Linked DNA regions of Cricetulus griseus. The protein of the gene in region 4 binds, or shares a complex with, the protein of the main gene of each other region. Links are inferred from orthologs where the notes say so. Each region holds a gene or a part of one and is shown on either strand. Other genes may lie near its edges.

Region 1 (3,309 bases), on a different chromosome or scaffold from region 4:
TGAAAAGAAAATTCACCGAGACATTAAAGGTATACAAAAGTCAAATAGAAACCTGAGAAAAACAGATACATTTTGGGGAAGCTGAGAGATACTCACTTTGTTTTTCTTTGCCCCCTAGCTGCCAATGTCTTGCTTTCTGAGCAAGGTGATGTTAAGCTTGCTGACTTTGGAGTTGCTGGCCAGCTGACAGATACACAAATTAAAAGAAACACCTTTGTGGGAACTCCATTTTGGATGGCTCCTGAAGTTATTCAACAGTCAGCTTACGACTCTAAAGTAAAGTATTCCACATGCAGATGGAATTAATTGGATATGGCCTTGTCAATAAGCTTTTTAATTTTTCCTTGCTTCACAAGTGCTTCTAAAAGAAATTATGTCGTATTTTGTTTCTTAATCGTAAATCCCTTTGGTGTTGGTAATATTTGAGCCCTATTTATTTCAATGGTTTTTCAACCCACTTGGAATAAAATCTAGAGTCCTCATAGTCACATATATGGCCACTGATGATCTGGCCATTTGATGTCTATCCACCCTTGTCTTCTACCACTGTCATCTGTACTCTCAGCTATTATGGCCTCATTGTTCCTCAAACACAAGTACATTTTGACCTCAGGAGTTTTCTCTTGCTTTCCCCTTTGTCTGGAATAGCCTAGCTCCCAGTGAGCTCTCTCTAAACATCCCTAACCATCCCACATAAACATGTAGCTCCTTTCTTTGCTTTGCTCGATATTCCCTTATTCTGCTTTTTGTGTCTTCACAGAACTTAGTTCCATATGACATCATGTTACTCATTTATCTTTCCCTCTTATTAGAATGTAAGCCTCTTCAAGGCAAGGACTTTCATCTGGTTTATTTAGCACTCAATTAGTGTTGTGCCTGTACAAAATATGAGATTTAAAGTGTTAATTCATGAATTCCATTAACTAAAATTATAATTCACCACATTTCTTGATATGTCAATGTGATAAAAAGTTTGTGTTATTGTTTCTGCTTTAGGCTGACATTTGGTCTTTGGGAATTACTGCTATTGAACTTGCCAAGGGAGAGCCTCCGAATTCTGACATGCACCCAATGAGAGTTCTGTTTCTTATTCCAAAAAACAACCCTCCAACTCTTGTTGGAGACTTTACTAAGTCTTTTAAGGAATTCATTGATGCTTGCCTGAATAAAGATCCATCATTTGTGAGTATATGCTGTTATTACCACTGGTGGTTTCCAATTGTTCTATCTACTTCTAACAAAGGTGGTGTTTCCTATATGGAGAATACAATGTGAAAAACATCTGTGATCCACCCACGAAGCTGGTTTCTCCTTCTGTATTGCTAATTCCACTCTGTTCTTAACCAGATTCTTGGTCTTGTTTTTTCCTCCCTGACATCATCTTCTTAGTTCCCAGCTACCTGATAATATTCTATTTCAAGAAAAAAGTTTGGGGAAATAATTCATTAGCTTTCTATTACTTACTTAGTAAAGTAGGCATGTGCCATTAGTGAGGGAATTGACTAAATTTATTACATGTCTTAGTGTTGTTAAAATAAAGCTGCTTTTCACTCCTGGTGATTAAATATACATGAGCACCTTTCTAAGCTGGATGTAACCATTTTATGTTGACAGTAAACATTATAATATTAATGAAATACTGAAGGGGACATATTCCCTACAGCACTTGCTGTTTGCATTCATGTACAATAAGAATTAGTGTTTGATAGAAAAGCATATACTAAGATGTGGTCAGATAATGACAAAATTAGGGATTCATAAGATGTGCAGATAATAACAAAATTACAGCAATCTTGCTCATTTGCATGATTTTTCAAAAATTACAGTCAGTGTAATAAAGTGTCTTAAATGTTGTTTTGACATTTTTAGATGGTTACTTTCTAAGTCCCGCTATTGCTGAGAAAGCTTTGTTGAGTGGCATGCTGGTGAGGTATCCTAGCATCTGTCTACTGTGCTTTAACAAATCAGGCTGCTAAAACAACCAATTTCAATTGGCTACCTTGACCCACTTGAAGAAATAAAATGGTCAGTTTTCCTATTACATTTTAATTGTCCTCCTGTTCATAGATCCAGTTTTGTAGATTTCAGTGTAATAATTCAAATGGTGTTTTACTACCTGTCTCTCCCCAAAAGATCCTCAAAATAGTCATGAGTCCTTTTCTTTGTGTGTGTCTGTGCCTTAGCGTCCTACAGCAAAAGAACTTTTGAAACATAAGTTCATTGTAAAAAATTCAAAGAAGACTTCTTATCTGACCGAACTGATCGATCGATTTAAGAGATGGAAGGCAGAAGGACACAGTGATGACGAATCGGACTCCGAGGGCTCTGACTCGTATGTACAAGTTACTGTTATTTTTATGTTGGCAGCCTGTTTTCATATGCTCTGCCTTTCGCAGTGACCTAGTGTGCTTGCTTTCAACTAAGTTATAAATCACCGTGAGGGCTCATTTCAGCCACTGTGAAGTTTCTTGATGGTTCATGGAATACAATGAGCTTGGAAACACACTTTGGAAGAGAAAAGCTCTGCTTTTAAATGGTCTCGGTCTAACCCCTAGTGGATACTTGAGTATATTACAAAATTTTGGAATACGATTTGATTAAAGGTGTTCTATTAGTTCATGAGAAGCAATAAGGAGCTATTTTCTCATACAGTGATTACAACTTGCAAAACCCTTTGGAGAACTGCTGTCACAGCCCTTCCTACTTCCTGGTCCCAGACCAAATTGATCAGACTGATCCGTGAACTGTGACAACTATTTACTTATGTATGGTTTTTACCCTATGGACAAGTTAGTCTTTTTGAAAAATGCCAGTATTTCTGCTTCTGTGTGCTCATCTTAACTTGAGTAGAAGAATTCAAGGGCTGAACCAGGATTTAGTCTTTTGGTATGTAGACCTCCACAGAGGTAGCACCCTATGTCGTCACAATATTCTCAGGCACCTGCATTTATGAGAAATTGCCCAATATTTGAAATGAATAAAATATCTCAGTATGTAGTTTGTGCCCAGTTTAAGGCTTGTTAACCTTAACTGCCCATGAAAACTTCTTGATGGAACTTTAAAAACACAAGGCATTCTACAGGGTTCGTGATTCAGGCATAGGGGAATGGCAGTATTAACAATATAGCGCTATGCACATAGTATTTGGATGATCAGTTAGAGCTGAGAAATGCTCTGTTCTTGAATCAAATGGAGTACCCACCTGAAACAGGTCAGATGCGGTGTTGTATGGTGAGTTTGTAAACACTGACACAGTGAGATCTTTGAGTTGGTGTTTCTGCCATGTCGAACTACTTGGTATGTTTTTTA
Region 2 (3,786 bases), on a different chromosome or scaffold from region 4:
CTATTTGGCCAAAAGGCCTAAATGGGGGCATGCAGAAGGTCCTGGATGTATCTGAAGAAGACCTCTACTCAGTATGCAAGGTAGTGGTAATTTGACTTAATTGATGGCTCCCTATCCCTGAGGAATGAAAGCCCACCCTGGTCACCTGCTTTAGCGTCTTCACACTCTCATGGATGGGTCGAGGTAATCCAACCAAGGTATCTGTGTCCCTGTAAGAGGCCCAAAACACCAAACCATGATATTCTTAACAGAAGAGAAAACTACCCATACACTCTGGAATCATAGGGTCCACACACTTCAAGCATCTACCCCTGTTTCCTATACCTTCTTCTTTTTTTTTTTTTTTTTTTTTTTTTTGAGATAGGGTTTCTCCGTAGCTTTGGAGCCTGTCTTGGAACTCACTCTGTAGACCAGGCTGGCCTCAAACTCACAGAGATCCAACTGCCTCTGCCTTCCAAATGCTGGGACTAAAGGTGTGCACCACCACTGCCTAGCCTTATACCTTCTTATATAAGACTCCAGGTCCATCATCTTAATGTCACAAAAATAACAATGACACACAGAAGTATTTCTGAAAGTTAGATTTATATCATATAGTCTTTTAGTTATTCACTTGGCCTGCAGGTGACAGATTCCCACTTAAAGGAATATGTAGCCTAATGATACCTTTGACAATGAAATCCCTTCTAGCTTTATAAAGGCTAGTGAGGAAAATTCATGGCCTTCTAAGATATACTTTATATTCACTTTTGAATATCTAGTCACTTACTGCCCCAGGGTGAATCCAATGAACTTATTTCTGCTCATCTCCAAGAAGTGCTCAATGTCCTTCTGTCTGAGATGATGATGGTGAAGAAACCAATACCAGGGAGAGGAAGAAAACAAAACAAAACAACCTTGAGAAAGAGGAATTTTCAGAGCTCCTGATTCTTCGTTTTGGAAGGACTAGAGCAGTAGAAGAAGACAGAAAGAACTTCAAAACCAGGTGTTGTAATTACCACACCAGGTTAATGAACACTCAACATGTATGCTAGTCCACCTGGCTCTTCAGCGATTGGAATCTCAATGCTCAGGATCACTAGTGCCATTAAACCTACCTGACCTTTGGTGCCCAGGGAAGGCCCTTGGGAAAGGCTACTCGGTCAGTAGAGAGAGGTGTCTGTGAGGGTGGAGGTGGCACCAGAGGATCCTGCTCTAGTAGGTCTAACTCTCCATCCAAGGCTCGTTCTCCATCAGCTGCAGACTCTTCTTCTTCCTCTGTGGCTGGCTCCTCAGTCTTGAAGAGATCCCTTTCATTGTAGATGTCCAGGCTGTCTTGCTTGGTGAGGAGTTGCTGGCAGTGGTGAGAGAGAGGAAATTATAGAGCTTGTGGCACCCTTGTCTGAAGTCACTCTCTCTAGACTTCAGGAACCATAAGGTTGAAACCCATCTACTATGAGAACATTCCATCATCCATCTCAATCTTACAACTCACTGGACTCAGTCACTGGACAAGCAGCTCCCAGGAAAAATGACCATGGCCAGGAAACAGAGCACAGATAGCACCAGTGTGGGAGCTAGTTAGGTTCCAGAGGCACTGATGGATGCGCCACGTTCCCTGCCCTCCCAAGCATTTTCCTTCCTAATTATGCTCTGCTTAGGTGAACATACAATTAGTTTGCTTTCTGTCAGCATACACCAGCTGGCTGACTGAGGAAGAAGATGACAGAAGCTTGCTGCCAGGCAGAGGAATGTGAGTTTAGAATGTTAAATCTCATTGCATAAAGGGGAAAAAAAGACTGGACAGAAATAGGCCAAAAAGTTAATAGTCACTGCCTCTGGTTGTTAAGCTTGTGGGTGATTTTTCTCTCTTCATCACATTTTTACATCTGTTCCAAATTTTCTACAATGAGTAAGCATTACTTTATGAAACAAAAGAGAAAGGTTTTTTTTTTTTTTTTTTAATAAAGTCATTCTGCTTATAATTTAGACTGGATTGTGTGACCCTGTCACCTTTAATTGGTAAACTTGGGTAGGTCAGGCAGGTGAGTTCATGAAAAATGTGGTCAAGGCTCAATTATTTAGAACGTCTCAATAATATACACTGCCTAGAACCCTATCTAGCCACCTCACAAATGTAAGCTCGTGGTCCAAGGCCAGATGGAGTATGGTGGCTCAAAATAAAATTTCTTGCTGCCAAGAAAATGGTAAGTGATTCATGATAGGCATGTAGATTTGCTAGGTGCTCTTTTCAGGGTACCTACTCTCAGAATTCTAACATAACCCCTATTTAGGAGGCTAAGCAACTCTAGTCACTGAGGTCCAGACAATAATCCATGGTCAGGTGCCAAAGTGTAGATTCTAAGGATTCATGCTGGCTACAGGGCCAACCTGGGATGGCCATTTACTGCCCTTTCCTGCCACATCCGTAGCATCTGAGAACCCTGATTTTTGACCAGTCAATACCCCAACACTACCATATGCTTGATCCATACCCTTCGAGAACCACGGCGGCCCCGCAGCTTGGAGGGTGGAGGGGCCAGCTGAGACTCCCCCAGATCGAGAGTGTAAGAAGGTGGGGAGGCAGCACGCATACTCTTTACGACCTGGATACTGTCCTCAGCCAGTGGAGGCAGGCCCAACTCTGCGCGCTTCTGTATTTTGAGAGCCTGCAGATGCTCAAATCCACCAAGGGTAAACTAAAGAGTTAAAAAGAAAAAGGGAGGTTATCCAGTACCCACCAGTCAGCCCTGAGCATGTTGCATTTATATATATATATATATATTATATATATATATATATATATATGCACATGTGACAATAACTAAAGAAAAAGAGGCTATGAATTTCAGAGAGAGCAAGGAGCAAGGGGTGGGTACATGGAAGATGTTAAAGAGAGGAAAGGGAAAGGGGAAAATGGTGTAATTATATTGTAATTAAAAAAATTGTTATGCAGAAAAAGGAGGAAGAGAAGAGAGGGGTGAGAGAGGGCAGTCATAGAGAACAAAGGCAGAGAAACATGGACAGAAGGAAAGAACCACATCTTCCAATTTCCTCACACTGCCTTTTGTACAAGGAAGCAGAAAAACAAGAAGAAACAAACATTGTTACCACTTCAGTCTGAGGATCTCTAGTGTCAGAATAAAACACAGCATTATTTATTGACCCAGGGTTGGAAATAGCAGTAAATATTAGAGGAGGGTGGGCTCCACTGGAAAAAATTTAAAAATTAGGAGGCAATCCTCCCTTTGTTTTGTTTCTTGAGCAGGGTCTCAATGTGTAGCTCAAGCTGGCCTTAAACCTTCAGTCTTTATGCCTGTCTGACGAGTGCTAGTTTTACAACCATGTTCCACTATCCTGGGCGCAATCAATTTTAAGGAGCATATTCAGATATTACAACGTCCTAGAGTCACATAGCTTCCTCTGTAATCAAGAGGTGGTTTACCCTATGAGGCCCACTAAGAGGGTGTGTTGTTCCTCCAGCCCTATGGGATGGGAGCCAGAGGGAGACGATGGGATGAAGGATCGGATTAAATAATAAATAACAAATTATTAACTATATACTTGAAAGGACACCCATCCTCTACTGGAAGAAAAGGCATGCATTAATCTTAACATTTCATAGCTATAGAAACAGGTACAGAATTGTCCAAGGTTCATTGGTATGGACAGAGTCAGATTCCCAATGATCAGCTAGGGTTCTTTCTAAGAAACATCAGTTCTTTTAGGAAAAAGGTGCCATTGACATCTTCAACTCATAGAGTGACATCCAATGGATTCATCCAATAGAAACAGAAACCCAATGAT
Region 3 (3,786 bases), on a different chromosome or scaffold from region 4:
CACTCAGCTTTATCTGTCTGGCCAAATCTCAGCGTGGCCTTTCAGGACTTCAGGCTGCAGTTCTGCTCCAAGCATCTACTGCTGCTCAGTGAGAACTGGTCTTAGGATTTGGCTGCCAGTTCTAATGATTACATTTATTTTTGGATGGGTAGGTATGTATGTACCACAGTGTAAATATTAGAAGACCACTTATGGAAATTGGTTTCCTCCTTCCATGTGGTCCAGGGATCAAACCCAGGTTGTTAGGTTTGGTGACAAGTGCTTTTACCCACTGAGCCATCTGGTCTTGGTCTTTTTCTTTTCCTTCCTTCCTTTTTCTTTTTTGTTGTCGTCATCTTCTTTAAAAAAAAAAATAGGTTTATTTACTTTACGTGTATGTGTGAGTATATGCATGTATGCATGTGTGCATCACATGTGGGAAGTGCTTGAGATCACGTGGGCTGTTGGGAACCAAACCCATGTGCTCTTAACTACCGAGCCATCTCTCTAGCCCCCTGGCCAAACCAGAGCACATACGGACACCACAGCTAGTCTGCTCAGAGTGCCTGCTCTGGGCCAGGCATGGCACTGTGGCACACACTCGGGCCTCTTGGAGGCAGCTTTGCTTAGAGGGGTTAGGTGACTTCTGTGTTAAGACACTGCCCTTGTGCCTGGAGTTCTTCCCCGAACTTCTCTCTGCTCACCTCATCTTGTTCTGCAGTTCTTGGCTTGTCGAGGGCTGGGGAGTGTGGTCCTCTGTCTCTTCCCTTTACTTCTTTCACGGTTAAAAACCTTAAGAATGTAGCTAGTTGGCAATTTTGTCTCAGATGGGGTCTGAAACCAGTTGCTTTGCTTGCAGAGAAGAAGCTGGGGCAGTTAGGCTTCAGGGAATCAGGCAGCTATGTCAGTTTTGGAGGACAGGCTTCTTAGAAACATGGTAAACACCTAGGACAGGCTCTTCCCTAAGCAGAGGGATTTGCGCATCAGTACTTAGACAGTTGTAAATAAGTGTGGTTTTGCCTTTTTGTGTCTCGGCCTCCCACCCCCCCATTTGGGAGCTGAATTCCAGGCCTTGGGCATGCTAGGCAAGTGCTCTGCCACTGAGTTATTTCCATGGTCCCCCCCTTAAAAACAAAACAACACCTCTCCGTGTGTGTACCATGGCATGTGTGTTGTCACTGGACAGCTTTGGGAGTCAGTTCTCTTCCACCATGTGGTCTAGGGAACCAAACTCAGGTTGTTAGTCTTGGTAGCAAGTGCCTCTACCAGAAGAACCATCTTACCCGCCTGATTTGGGTTCCTTTTAACAGGCACCAAAATACTGTTTGGGGGACATCCTTTTGGGGTGACCATCTCCTAATGGAGGTGAAACTTAGCATGGTTGAAAACCTGGATGAGACTCAGCATTCCCCTTTGAGGTCTTGTGCCAGCGTGGCCAGTGGTATGGAGAACATGTTCTTTTCCAGTCTGCCAGGTAGCACAGTAGGGACATTCAGTGGTGGCCCTGGGAGAGGCTCTTCTGCTTCTTTCCTCTCTGGAGGCAGCCCTGATTCAAAACCTAGCGTGGTTTGGACAGAGCACACACCTTTGCCATCCTGGCTCATCTTCAACATGATCGGTTCAGCAATGATAAGATCCTAGTTAAATCTGAGGGCTGTCTAGGGTAGCTTGTAATGATAAATCTTTACGCCCAGCTGCCTGAGTCCTGCTGCCATGTGGACGCTTTCCACCAGGCCATCTGAGTTCCGCCCGCCACCACATTAAGGTCCCAAGTAACTCCCAGAGACTTATATTAGGTACAAATGCTTCTGTGTTTAGTATCTAGAATTAAACATCTGAGAAAGTGTTCAACTCAGTACTGGTATGAGAATGTAGCTGGCTAGAGGACTAATTTGAGAATAGAGAGGCACTTTAAGTATGGAAAACATAAGTTAGCTTTGCTAAATTTTAATCTCTCGTTTTGTTTTTGATTTTTTGAGACAGAGTTTCTTTGTTTAACAGTTCTGACTATCTGGAATTCTGGAACTAGCTCTGTAAATCAGGCTGGTCTTGAACTCAGAGATCTGCCTGCCTCTGCCTCCTGAGTGCTGTGACTAAAGGCATGCGCCATGCCTGGATGAATTTTACTTTTAAATTACTGGGGCTATGCACATGTGAGTGCAGGTGTTCTCCAAGGCCAGAGACCTCAGATCCCCTGGAGCTAAGGTTGTAGCAGTGAGCACACACTGTAAGACCAGTGTGTGCTCTTGGCCACCAAGCCATCTTTCCAGTCCATTACTTTGTTGTTTTTTTTTTTTAGAACAGTTTTAGATTTATAGTAAAATGAGTTTTACAGTACCCTCTGGCACGCACATACTCCTACCTGTCATTCCTGATAGGTCTTGGCCTGGCTCTCTGTTAGACAACTGAAGAAGGCACTTTGAGATGTGGTATTGCTAATACATTTGATTCTAAATATACATTTGAGTTGAGTCTACAGATACTTTGATTCACTGTATCAAGTCTATTGAATATAGTGTCACTTGGAGAGTGGAGAGTTACATTTAGGTTTTCTGGACAAGGGATAAAGAAGCCAGAAAAGGATTGAGGTGAGTTCTCTTTAGCTCCTTGCAGTGGCCCAGACCCTCAGTCAGCAGTCAGCCCTCTTCTAGTATTTCCTCTAGTGGGTGTTGTCTCAGCATTCTGTCCCTTCTGGCTTATGTAGAATTCTCGTGTGGACCCAGAGGAACTCTTCACCAAGCTTGACCGCATTGGCAAGGGCTCGTTTGGGGAGGTGTACAAAGGCATCGACAACCAAACCAAGGAGGTGGTGGCCATCAAGATCATTGACCTGGAAGAGGCAGAGGATGAGATTGAGGACATCCAGCAGGAGATCACTGTGCTCAGCCAGTGTGACAGCCCTTACATCACCCGCTACTTCGGCTCCTACCTGAAGGTGCTGCCAGGAGAGGGGGCATCTATGGGAGTGGGGGGGCACTGAAGGCTCTGTGCCAGGGTTTGTCCTGTTTCCAGAGGAGTTACTATGTACCCAAGGTAGAGGAGAGCAGAGAAAGGCACTGCTGGGCACATGGGGATCCCTCTGGAAGGGCAAAGAGGCTCCCCTTTACCCCAAAGCTCAGCTTCACAAAAAAGTCTGTTCTTTTGAGAAGTACAATCTACAAGAGTCAGGTGGCTCTAAAGTGGTCATAGTGACCCAGCTGTCTTATCTGTGGGTGCTGTTAGGTACAGTCTAAGGGGTCCCTGCTGGCAGTACTGTGGAGGTCTGCCAGGAGGGCACTTGGGCTATTGAAAAAGACTTAGTGACTGCTCTGGGCACTTGGTCTGTCCACCAAGTGCCTGTACCAGAGGTATGGTAGCTGGGTGGTCAGTAAGACCTTTTCTCCTGCCCCTTCCTCTGGACAGGGTCTCTGCAGACCAGCCTGGCCTTGAACTCACAAAAGATCTGCCTATGTCTCTAAGTGCTGGAATTAAGGTGTATGCTTCCTTTTTTTGTTTGGTTTTGTGTGTGTGTTATTTTGTTTTTAAGACAGGGTCTCATTGTGTAGTTGTTTGTCCTGGAACTCAGCCACCTGCCACTCGAGTGCTGGGATTAAAGGCATGTGCCACCATGCTTGGCTTGGCCCTTCTTTTTAAAAATATTAATTTATTATTATTTTTACCTATATGTGTCGCGTGCGTGCGCGTGTACACGTGCGTGCCTGAGGAGGCCAGAAGAGGTTGGTGGATGTCCCCGGAACAGGAGCCGCATGCTGCTGGTGTTGGGAATTGAAAGAGCATCAAGTGCTCTTACTGCCAAGCCATCTCTTT
Region 4 (3,786 bases):
CATGGTGACAGAGCATCCCCTGAACATGCCTGCCCACATCTGACCAAGTCAAATATGAGCTGGGTAAGAAGAAGTCACTGCCCGGTGCCTCTGCCCTAATCAGCCCAGGAGCAGCGGCCGCCCTGCAAGACTCGGTCACCTCCAACTCTTCGCTGTCAACTAACATGGACATGGGAGAGCCTTGCCCCATCACACAGGCAGCATTCCTCCTTAGGGACACCCACCCTCCCTCCCTCCCGCGGTCTACTGGCACACCAGAACCGTCAACTGCCAGGACACAGCTACACTTTCTACGGAGATCAATACAGAGCACGCTCTCTGGCCACTCCAGAATACTGTCCTTTGAGGACTTGCTCCGTCCACACCCACCTCTGCCTCCTCTCTGGCTGCTGCTTCCTCCTCCACCTTTCCTTGTCAATCTCAAGACTGAGGAGCCCTCGGGGCCCACAGTGGGATCCCTCCCCAAACATCAGTTCCCTTAAACTAGAGAGATGTTTAGGGCTCCAAGCTACACGTGGCCTCTTGATGTAGGACATATGGCAACTTAACCTCAACACAGCTGCAAAACTGCATCAACTCCTGCCACTCCCCACCTGGATCCTGACTTCAGAAGGTGCCACTCCATTCCTCAGACAACCCTCCCTCTTCTTTCCTTTCCCCAAGTCCTTTACAAGGCCTAGTTCTTACCCGTCCATTGCTAAGGTCCATCAGCCCTGGCCTAGACCCTACAGTCAGCCCCCACCTGGCCTCCCTGCTTCCGCAATCTCTCCTCAAAGCAGACTAAGACGTCAGATGATATACCCCTGCTGGAAACCACTGGCTTCCCACAGCCCTGTGGGTAAGCATCCCCTGTTTATCGTGGCCTGGTAGGCACTTCGTGATCTGCCTCCCGAGATCTGGCCTTACCACAGACCACAGGCCACAAGACTCTGTGTTTACTGCAACAGTCATGCCACAGGTCTCCTGCTTTCCACACATATCAAGTCCTTTCTGTCTTAGAATCCGACCCTTCCCTTGCCTAGACAGCATTCTTTCCTGACATTCTCTGGCAGAATGCTACCCCCACAAAGTAGTCCTATCTTCCAGCCACCAAGAGTACTACTACTCCTGTTACTTTTTTTTTTATTTTTTCTCCTGGCCAGGCTGGTCTCCAACCCCTGGGCTCAAGCAATCTCCTGCCTCTGCCTCCTGAGTAGCTGGGGCCACAGGGGTGTGCCACAGTACCTGGCAATTTCCTGTCACTCTCTTCACATTCTTCATAGCACTCAACGTCACCTAAGGATGACGCTACTGCTTCTGACAATACCAACTACCCATGGGAAGATGAACAAAATGAGCCCCAAGACAAGAGTAGATATGCCTCCTCACCTGTTTCCCGCTGCAATCAAACCACCCGAGGGCTATCCTCAGCTAGGAACAAAGGCCGTGTGACAACCTACAGGGGAAGCCTAGCAATGGTGGAGCCTACCACACAATCTAGCAGGGCCGGCAGAACAGCTGCAGGGAGGAAGAACATCATGCCTGCTCGGGGGCTCACCTCTTGATCTGTTCCTCGATCTGTTTTACCAGCAGAGACTCGCCACCGCTAAGTCCTCCGGGGCCTGGTGAAGCCCTGGGTGGCCCCTCGATAGGCTCAGTGGCCCCATTGAGCTCCACGGAGCGACCCAGAAGGGAACGCACACGCTTGGACCTCATGTCCAGGATGGTATCTGTGTAGCCCACCTCTTCCAGGTATCTGTGGGGGCAGAGTCAGGTCAGCCTACACATGAATTAAGCTACTCTGGCCGCTGGGGCCATGCAGAACCCAGCAGCCTTCTGAAGGGCCACCAAAGAGCATACGGCAATTTTTCAGAAGCAACCCCTGAGCAGCAGTTTGGCTTCTGATACTTCTCAATGGAAGCCCTGGTCCCCATGCATGCTGCTATGGCACACGGTGTCCCCGACATGTAGGGGAGAGCCCACGTGCAGGAAAAGCCAGATGTCCATTGACGGACGCTAGGCGGAAGGTGACGAAGGCAGAGCGCCACGGAAGATGGCTGTGATCAGCAGCACAGCGAACATGGTGTATGTTCCATGTTCCATGGGATTCCAGGTTTTATAAAAATGGAAGAGTGTGAAGGTGTGCATATGTTTTCATCACACACACACACACACACACACACACTCACACTCACACACACACACACACAGACACACACACACACACACACACACACACACACACTCACACTCACACACTCACACACACACACACACACACACACACACACACACTCACACACACACACACACACACACACACACACACACACACACACACACACACACACACACACACACACACACACACACACACACACACACACACCACACACACACACACACACACACACACACACACACACACACACACACACACACACACACATCACACACACACACACATCACACACACACACACACACACACACAACACACACACACACACACACACACACACACACACACACACACACACACACACACACACACACACACACACACACACACATCACACACACACACACACACACACACACACACACACACACACACACACACACACACACACACACACACACACACACACACACACACACACACACACACACATCACACACACACACACACACACACACACACACACACACACACACACACACACACACACACACACACACACACACATCACACACACACACACACACACACACACACACACACACACACACATCACACACACACACACACACACACACACACACACACACACACACACACACTGGTGCTTGCTTCCCGGACGCCTAGAAGACAGACATAAACTGAGCAACAGTGACCTCTGCAGGGGAGGATCCAGAACACAAGAGTACACTGTTTTTCCTGCAGCGCTGGGGATGGGCCCCAGGGCCTTGAGCATGCGAGGCAAGCGCTCTACCGCTGTGTATCGTTCTACTTACTTCTACACCTGAGCATTTATTACTTCTGCAACTTAAAAAACTGAAGCCAGCTGACACTGGCCTAAAGGAAAAAGAAAAAGAAGAAGAGAAAAAGATCAAAAAGTCAATCAAGGGGATCTGTGGCTTCCAAAGTTAAGGGACAACACTGCCTCGCTGCTCTGTTAGAGGCCCCTTAGGGTGTCTGTGCCCTCCTCTGCTTGGCTCACCACTGCAATGCTTGCATATGGCCCAGGCTCTCATCTCCCAGGGGACAAGAGGGGTGGAGAAGCCCAGCAATCTAGAGGTGGCTGCATTTACCAAATGGTCTCTGCACCGTGAGAATCAGGGCCAAGCCAGCAGTTACACAGTACAGGCACATGTGACTGGCTCTCATTACATTTGCTTCACAGCCCTCCGGGGTTATTAGTGCCCACTTAAGCTAGCAGTGGTTTGTTTGCAGAGAGTGAGCTGAAGGCAGTCGAGGTCAGCTTCCTGAGGTCTGTCATGAGTCCTAAGACTAAAACACCTCACGATGGATTGGCTCTTGAGATCTCTGGCTTTCCAGAAGGGTGCCTATTACATGGTGGTGATTTTTTTTTTTTTTTTTTTTTTTTTAATTTGGTTTTTCGAGACAGGGTTTCTCTGTGGCTTTGGAGGCTGCCCTGGAACTAGCTCTTGTAGACCAGGCTGGCCTCGAACTCACAGAGATCCGCCTGCCTCTGTCTCCCGAGTGCTGGGATTAAAGGCGTGCGCCTCCACCGCCCACCGCCCACCGCCCCGCGGTGGTGGTGATTTTTATGGTGCTGGGGGG
Region 5 (4,553 bases), on a different chromosome or scaffold from region 4:
CCAAGATAGGTGTCCCAGAGTGACTGAGCAGCCACCAAGCTCATGCCTGATCCCTTGACAGCCTGACGTGGTGGTGTCGGTGATGGCATCAGGGCCCACCCAGGTTTGTGCACACACATGTCTCATTGCTCTTGTATACATTTTCAGCTGAAGGAGAAGAGCCAGGCATGTGGAGGAAACTTGGGGTCAATAGAAGAGCTCCGAGGAGCCATCTATTTGGCAGAAGAGGCTTGCCCTGGGATCTCTGACACCATGGTGGCTCAGCTTGTGCAGCGGCTGCAGAGGTAACTGGCCTTGGGCTGGAGCGGGTTTGTAGGAGGGGAGCCTGGTGGTGCGGCATGGCTTCCTGGACTAGGAAGCTGCCACAGGCCGCAGCTTGGCATATCTCTTGGGTGCTTCATTCTTGACTGTTCCTGTTGTCCCCCAGACCAGGGGCTTACAGCAAAACCTATTGAAGGCTTATTCTGAAGTGTACAAATGAAAGAAATGAATCTGGGAAAGACCACAGAGCCTTGCATTTATAGCTCTTGCCAGAGAAATGCAAGATGCCTTAAAAGACCTCTGTGTCCGTGGTCTTACAAGCAGAGAGACAGAGCCTCAGTCACAATGCTTACTGGGAGCTGGGTTTGAAGCCAGAGGCTTTGGTGTGCCATGCTTAGAGCTGTGCTTGTAGGTCTGTGCTGTGGCTCGGTGCCTCCCACTCTTGAGGCCATTGAAGGAGAGTGGTCTCTTTAAGATTGCCCCAGATTTGATTCTAAAGGCAGCAGCTTGTTACAGAAATAAAGGAAAAATAAGCCTGAAACCCATTCTGTGGGCTCACCTGGCAGGTCTCTGTGAGTTCTTTAACTTGGGATCATTCCATATCCTCCTTGGTGGCATAAGTGTCACTTTTCTGTGATGTGTGTGCGTTTGCTGGTATACCTGTGTGGGCAGAGGTATGCCTCTCAGGAGCTGATTTCTCTCCTGTCACTTTTTAAATCCAGGGATCTAATTCAGTTTATCAGGTGTGTCTATAAACACCTCCTACCTGCTGAGTGCCTTCTGAGTGAGTGAGTGTGAGTGTGTGTGTGTGTGCGCGTGCGCGAGAGCGCGTGTTTGAATTTTTGTGGTGCCAGGACTTTATCCTTTCATCTATAGCATTCTAGGCAGTATTCTGCCATTGAGCTGTAGTCCCAGCCTTCTCACACATGGAATCTCAAATTTGCTAGAAACTACCAAAATAGTAAAGAGGAAAAACAATTTTAATAAGTTTGATATTTTCCTCTGCCAGTTTATAATCATTATAAATAATTACCTATTGAGATATTTTGCATTGTTTTCTTTGGTGTTAAACCTTTGAAATCTGCTTTGAATTACATACGGTTACATCTTCTTCAATTCAAACTTAGATTTCAAGCAGACGCTCATGGCCTTTGGGCTAAGTAGACCCTCCTAAGTTATCAGATAGACAATTGTCTCCATCAACATGGATAAGGCTTTCCATTTTCGTCCTTGGCGTTCTTGGAGCCCCACCAGCCATAGGGTGATGCTCAACCAGAGGTTGTCACGTAGGCTTCTTCCTGGTTTGTTGCCACATGAGTGGTTTGGGCAGTCTCTTCAGAAGTGACTTCTGTCTGAAGTATTTTCAGGGCTTTTGGATCCTCCACTCACAGGAGGAGAAACTTAACCCATGGCAAGTCATTTGTAGCTCTTGGTGCTCCAGGGCACTGCTCAGAGCATCTGTGAACCTATTTGAGTGCTCAGTGTGTTTAAAGGGAACTCTGGGAGGCATGTTGGCAATGAGTTTTCTTAAATATGTCCTTGGCCATCTTCCTGGCCCTGTGATTTGATGTCAGTTTTGAGTGATTAAAAAATCTTGGCCATTATACCATTTAGCATTCAAAAGCAAGACAATGTTTTTGTTTTTAAACAAGTGACATGGGCCCTACGGTTGTGACCCGGTTATTACCATCTCTCCTGTCTTTTAATATATTGCCTTCTGATGTCACATATGCAAGGTGTTCATGTGGACACACAGACCGTCTTCTGGGCCACATTGTGGCTTGCCTGGCCAGCCTCCATATTGCTGCCCCAAAGAATTGCTGAGTGTAGACTCAAACTAACCATGGGCCTGTGTCCCTGAGCTTGGTTACCACCAGTTTTCAATAGATTTTGGGCTGGAGAGGACTCTGTGGGTGAGGGGCTTCCTTCCAGCAGAAGACCTGGGTGTAGGCCCAACACCACACAAAAAGGCTTTCTGTCCCAGCATGGGGGAGGGGTGTTGGCCAGAGATACAGGTAGATTCTGGAGGCTTGCTGGCCAACCAGCCTAGACAGAATGGCTAGCTCCAACCCAGTAGGAGATGCTGTGTGGAGAAGTAAGATGGAGAACACTGGAGGGGGGATCCCAGAGATGGTCTCTTGACTCCGCAAGAGCTTGCATGGCTGTGCATCCCCCCCCCCACACACACACAAAGCAGGATGATCCTAGGTGTCTTTTGCTGTTTTAATGACACTCTTCTCCAGGGAGACTGAACTTAAGGCTTGCCTTTTATCTACTATGAGTTTTTGTGTTAGAACCAGAATTTTCTTTGTCATTATAAACTCTTGTATAATAGATCTGGTAACCTGCCGGTTCCACTGGTGATTTTTTAAAAGACTTTGAAATTTCTGTAAAGAATGTAGAGTTTTGGTTTGGTGTCAGCAGTTTTGTTCAGGTGTGAGAAATAATGTATACTGATTTCTCTCTTTGCTTTCTCCTTAGATACTCTCTGAGTGGTGGAGGAACTTCAGCTCACTGAGATGCCTTTGGCATCGGGTTTGGTTTTTCCTTTCTTCTTCATCTTCCTCCTTATTAAAAGTCAATGAGCGCCTTTGCTGTCTCTGAGAAGAGGTGTCACGGAGGGGCCCCGCCCTCCTGTAGCCGCCAGCACCTGTCCAGGGACACGGTCCTCATCGTGCTGCAGCCAGTGGAGTCTTTCAGATGGGGTGGGGAGGGTCTACTCCTTCAAGCAATTATTTTATTTTTTTATCGTTTTTAATTTTAATCATAGTGCACATATTCAAAGAAAAATTATCTTTAACAAAAACCCTGAAATGTATATTTGGGTTGTGACAAGGCAGTTGAAGACATGCAACCTCAGGTACCTGCTTCATGTTGATAGCTCCTGCCCCGGGAGACTGAGTCGCTCTGGTGGATCATGTACAGACTTGTATATAGCGTCATTTTTACGGAAATTTTGGCGTGCGTAAGGGATCACTGTGTACACATCGGCCAAGTGCTTCTGTAGATAATCTATCTCTGTGGAGTAAATATTTGACAGGCCAGAACTTGAGTCTATTGCCTTGCCTTTATTACATGTAAATTTTGAACTCCGTGACCAGTGATTTGGATTTTATTTTGTATTTACAGGGTCTGTCATGAATAATAATTAGCACCCTCCCAACCCCCACGGAACACTCCTGTTTGTACCTCAAAAACATGCAAATTCTCCCTCACTTTCCCTTTGCCCCCTTTGGTACTCTTGGAAGTTTTTCTTTCTCATCGATGGTACTGTTTTCATTGTGTTTTCAGTTGGGACATATCTTTTTTCACAGAGCTTTACATTACTCTGAGTTCCTCCCGGATGAAGCACCCTCATCTAGTCTTTGTTGAGTTGTGCCTTTGTGTCTGCACCAGCTGTACCGTCCTGTCCACACCTTTCCGTTGAACCTGGTCGTAGAATCTGCATATCATTTTCCCATCATGAAAGTGTCTGAATGCTTACACCAATAAATTTTATAACTCACTCATTTTGCATACTGTTCTTAAAAAACATGGCTCTGCAGAGGGGTCGGGGCACTTGCTCTGCACACGCGTATGGTTGGGTAAGCGTATGTGTGGAGACTCTGGGGAAAGGGCCCAGATGTCAAACAGCCAAACGTCCACGTTAGTGTCCTATGCGACTGTGTGGCTGGTCACTGGGATATGGCCAGTTCGGGTTTGCGGAGCTGCTGATGCTCTTGCCGAGGACTTGGATGGGTGGGTTCAGTTCTCGTCAAGGAGCTGGTCCTGACGCTATCAGCCAGGCTATCTGCTTGTGTACTACAGAGCGTTGCTTGGCAGGGTGGGAATTCTTGGGTTCTCAGAGCAGGTCTTACTCAGATCTCTGTAGTGTTTCCATTTGCTCATGCTGATTTTGTCCTCTTCTTGGAGTGCTGGGTCTCAGGGAACATAGTTTTTGGAGCAGGAACTTTGGGTGAACTTGGGGATGTCTGCTTGGCCTTGTGGGTGTGTGGTAGCCTCGATGTTACAGGAAGGGCAGCCCAAGACTAGAGGTCCTGGCTGAGATGACAGTTTAGATTAAATGGGGGTCTAGGTTTTTAGACTATAATAAATTGTGGTACTCTACAAGAAGTAGATTTGGGCTGGATTAATTATTTCAACCAAGGATACATTTTGGCTAGGGGAAATAGAACCAACCACAGTTGTGACTGTGTTTTTGTTTTTTTAAGTCTGTGTATCACGTGTGCAGTGCCCATGGAGGCCAGAAGAGGACGCTGGAGCCTTTGGGACTGCAGCTAGTTGTGAGCTGC

What was found.
Region 1: Strn4 (region 4) and Stk26 share a complex: the UniProt entries of both Homo sapiens proteins name them as parts of the core of STRIPAK complex. The link is inferred for Cricetulus griseus from reciprocal best matches to the Homo sapiens genes STRN4 and STK26.
Region 2: Strn4 (region 4) and Strip2 share a complex: the UniProt entries of both Homo sapiens proteins name them as parts of the core of STRIPAK complex. The link is inferred for Cricetulus griseus from reciprocal best matches to the Homo sapiens genes STRN4 and STRIP2.
Region 3: Strn4 (region 4) and Stk25 share a complex: the UniProt entries of both Homo sapiens proteins name them as parts of the core of STRIPAK complex. The link is inferred for Cricetulus griseus from reciprocal best matches to the Homo sapiens genes STRN4 and STK25.
Region 5: Strn4 (region 4) and Stk24 share a complex: the UniProt entries of both Homo sapiens proteins name them as parts of the core of STRIPAK complex. The link is inferred for Cricetulus griseus from reciprocal best matches to the Homo sapiens genes STRN4 and STK24.

The regions. Positions count from the first base shown.
Region 1 is NC_048604.1:19,058,646-19,061,954, reverse strand, and holds part of Stk26 (serine/threonine-protein kinase 26), read left to right. Parts: coding exon 1-29; intron 30-118; coding exon 119-276; intron 277-996; coding exon 997-1,182; intron 1,183-2,183; coding exon 2,184-2,332; intron 2,333-3,309. UniProt on the Homo sapiens protein: Serine/threonine-protein kinase that acts as a mediator of cell growth. Modulates apoptosis. In association with STK24 negatively regulates Golgi reorientation in polarized cell migration upon RHO activation.
Region 2 is NW_023276806.1:197,887,554-197,891,339, forward strand, and holds part of Strip2 (striatin-interacting protein 2), read right to left. Parts: intron 2,679-3,786; coding exon 2,475-2,678; intron 1,334-2,474; coding exon 1,098-1,333; intron 836-1,097; coding exon 770-835; intron 210-769; coding exon 146-209; intron 1-145. UniProt on the Homo sapiens protein: Plays a role in the regulation of cell morphology and cytoskeletal organization. Required in the control of cell shape. Calmodulin-binding scaffolding protein which is the center of the striatin-interacting phosphatase and kinase (STRIPAK) complexes.
Region 3 is NC_048595.1:445,073,046-445,076,831, reverse strand, and holds part of Stk25 (serine/threonine-protein kinase 25), read left to right. Parts: intron 1-2,683; coding exon 2,684-2,914; intron 2,915-3,786. UniProt on the Homo sapiens protein: Oxidant stress-activated serine/threonine kinase that may play a role in the response to environmental stress.
Region 4 is NC_048602.1:11,454,454-11,458,239, reverse strand, and holds part of Strn4 (striatin-4), read right to left. Parts: intron 1,736-3,786; coding exon 1,538-1,735; intron 1-1,537. UniProt on the Homo sapiens protein: Calmodulin-binding scaffolding protein which is the center of the striatin-interacting phosphatase and kinase (STRIPAK) complexes.
Region 5 is NW_023276807.1:271,163,526-271,168,078, reverse strand, and holds the end of Stk24 (serine/threonine-protein kinase 24), read left to right. Parts: intron 1-147; coding exon 148-284; intron 285-2,742; coding exon 2,743-2,779; 3' UTR 2,780-3,770; downstream 3,771-4,553. UniProt on the Homo sapiens protein: Serine/threonine-protein kinase that acts on both serine and threonine residues and promotes apoptosis in response to stress stimuli and caspase activation.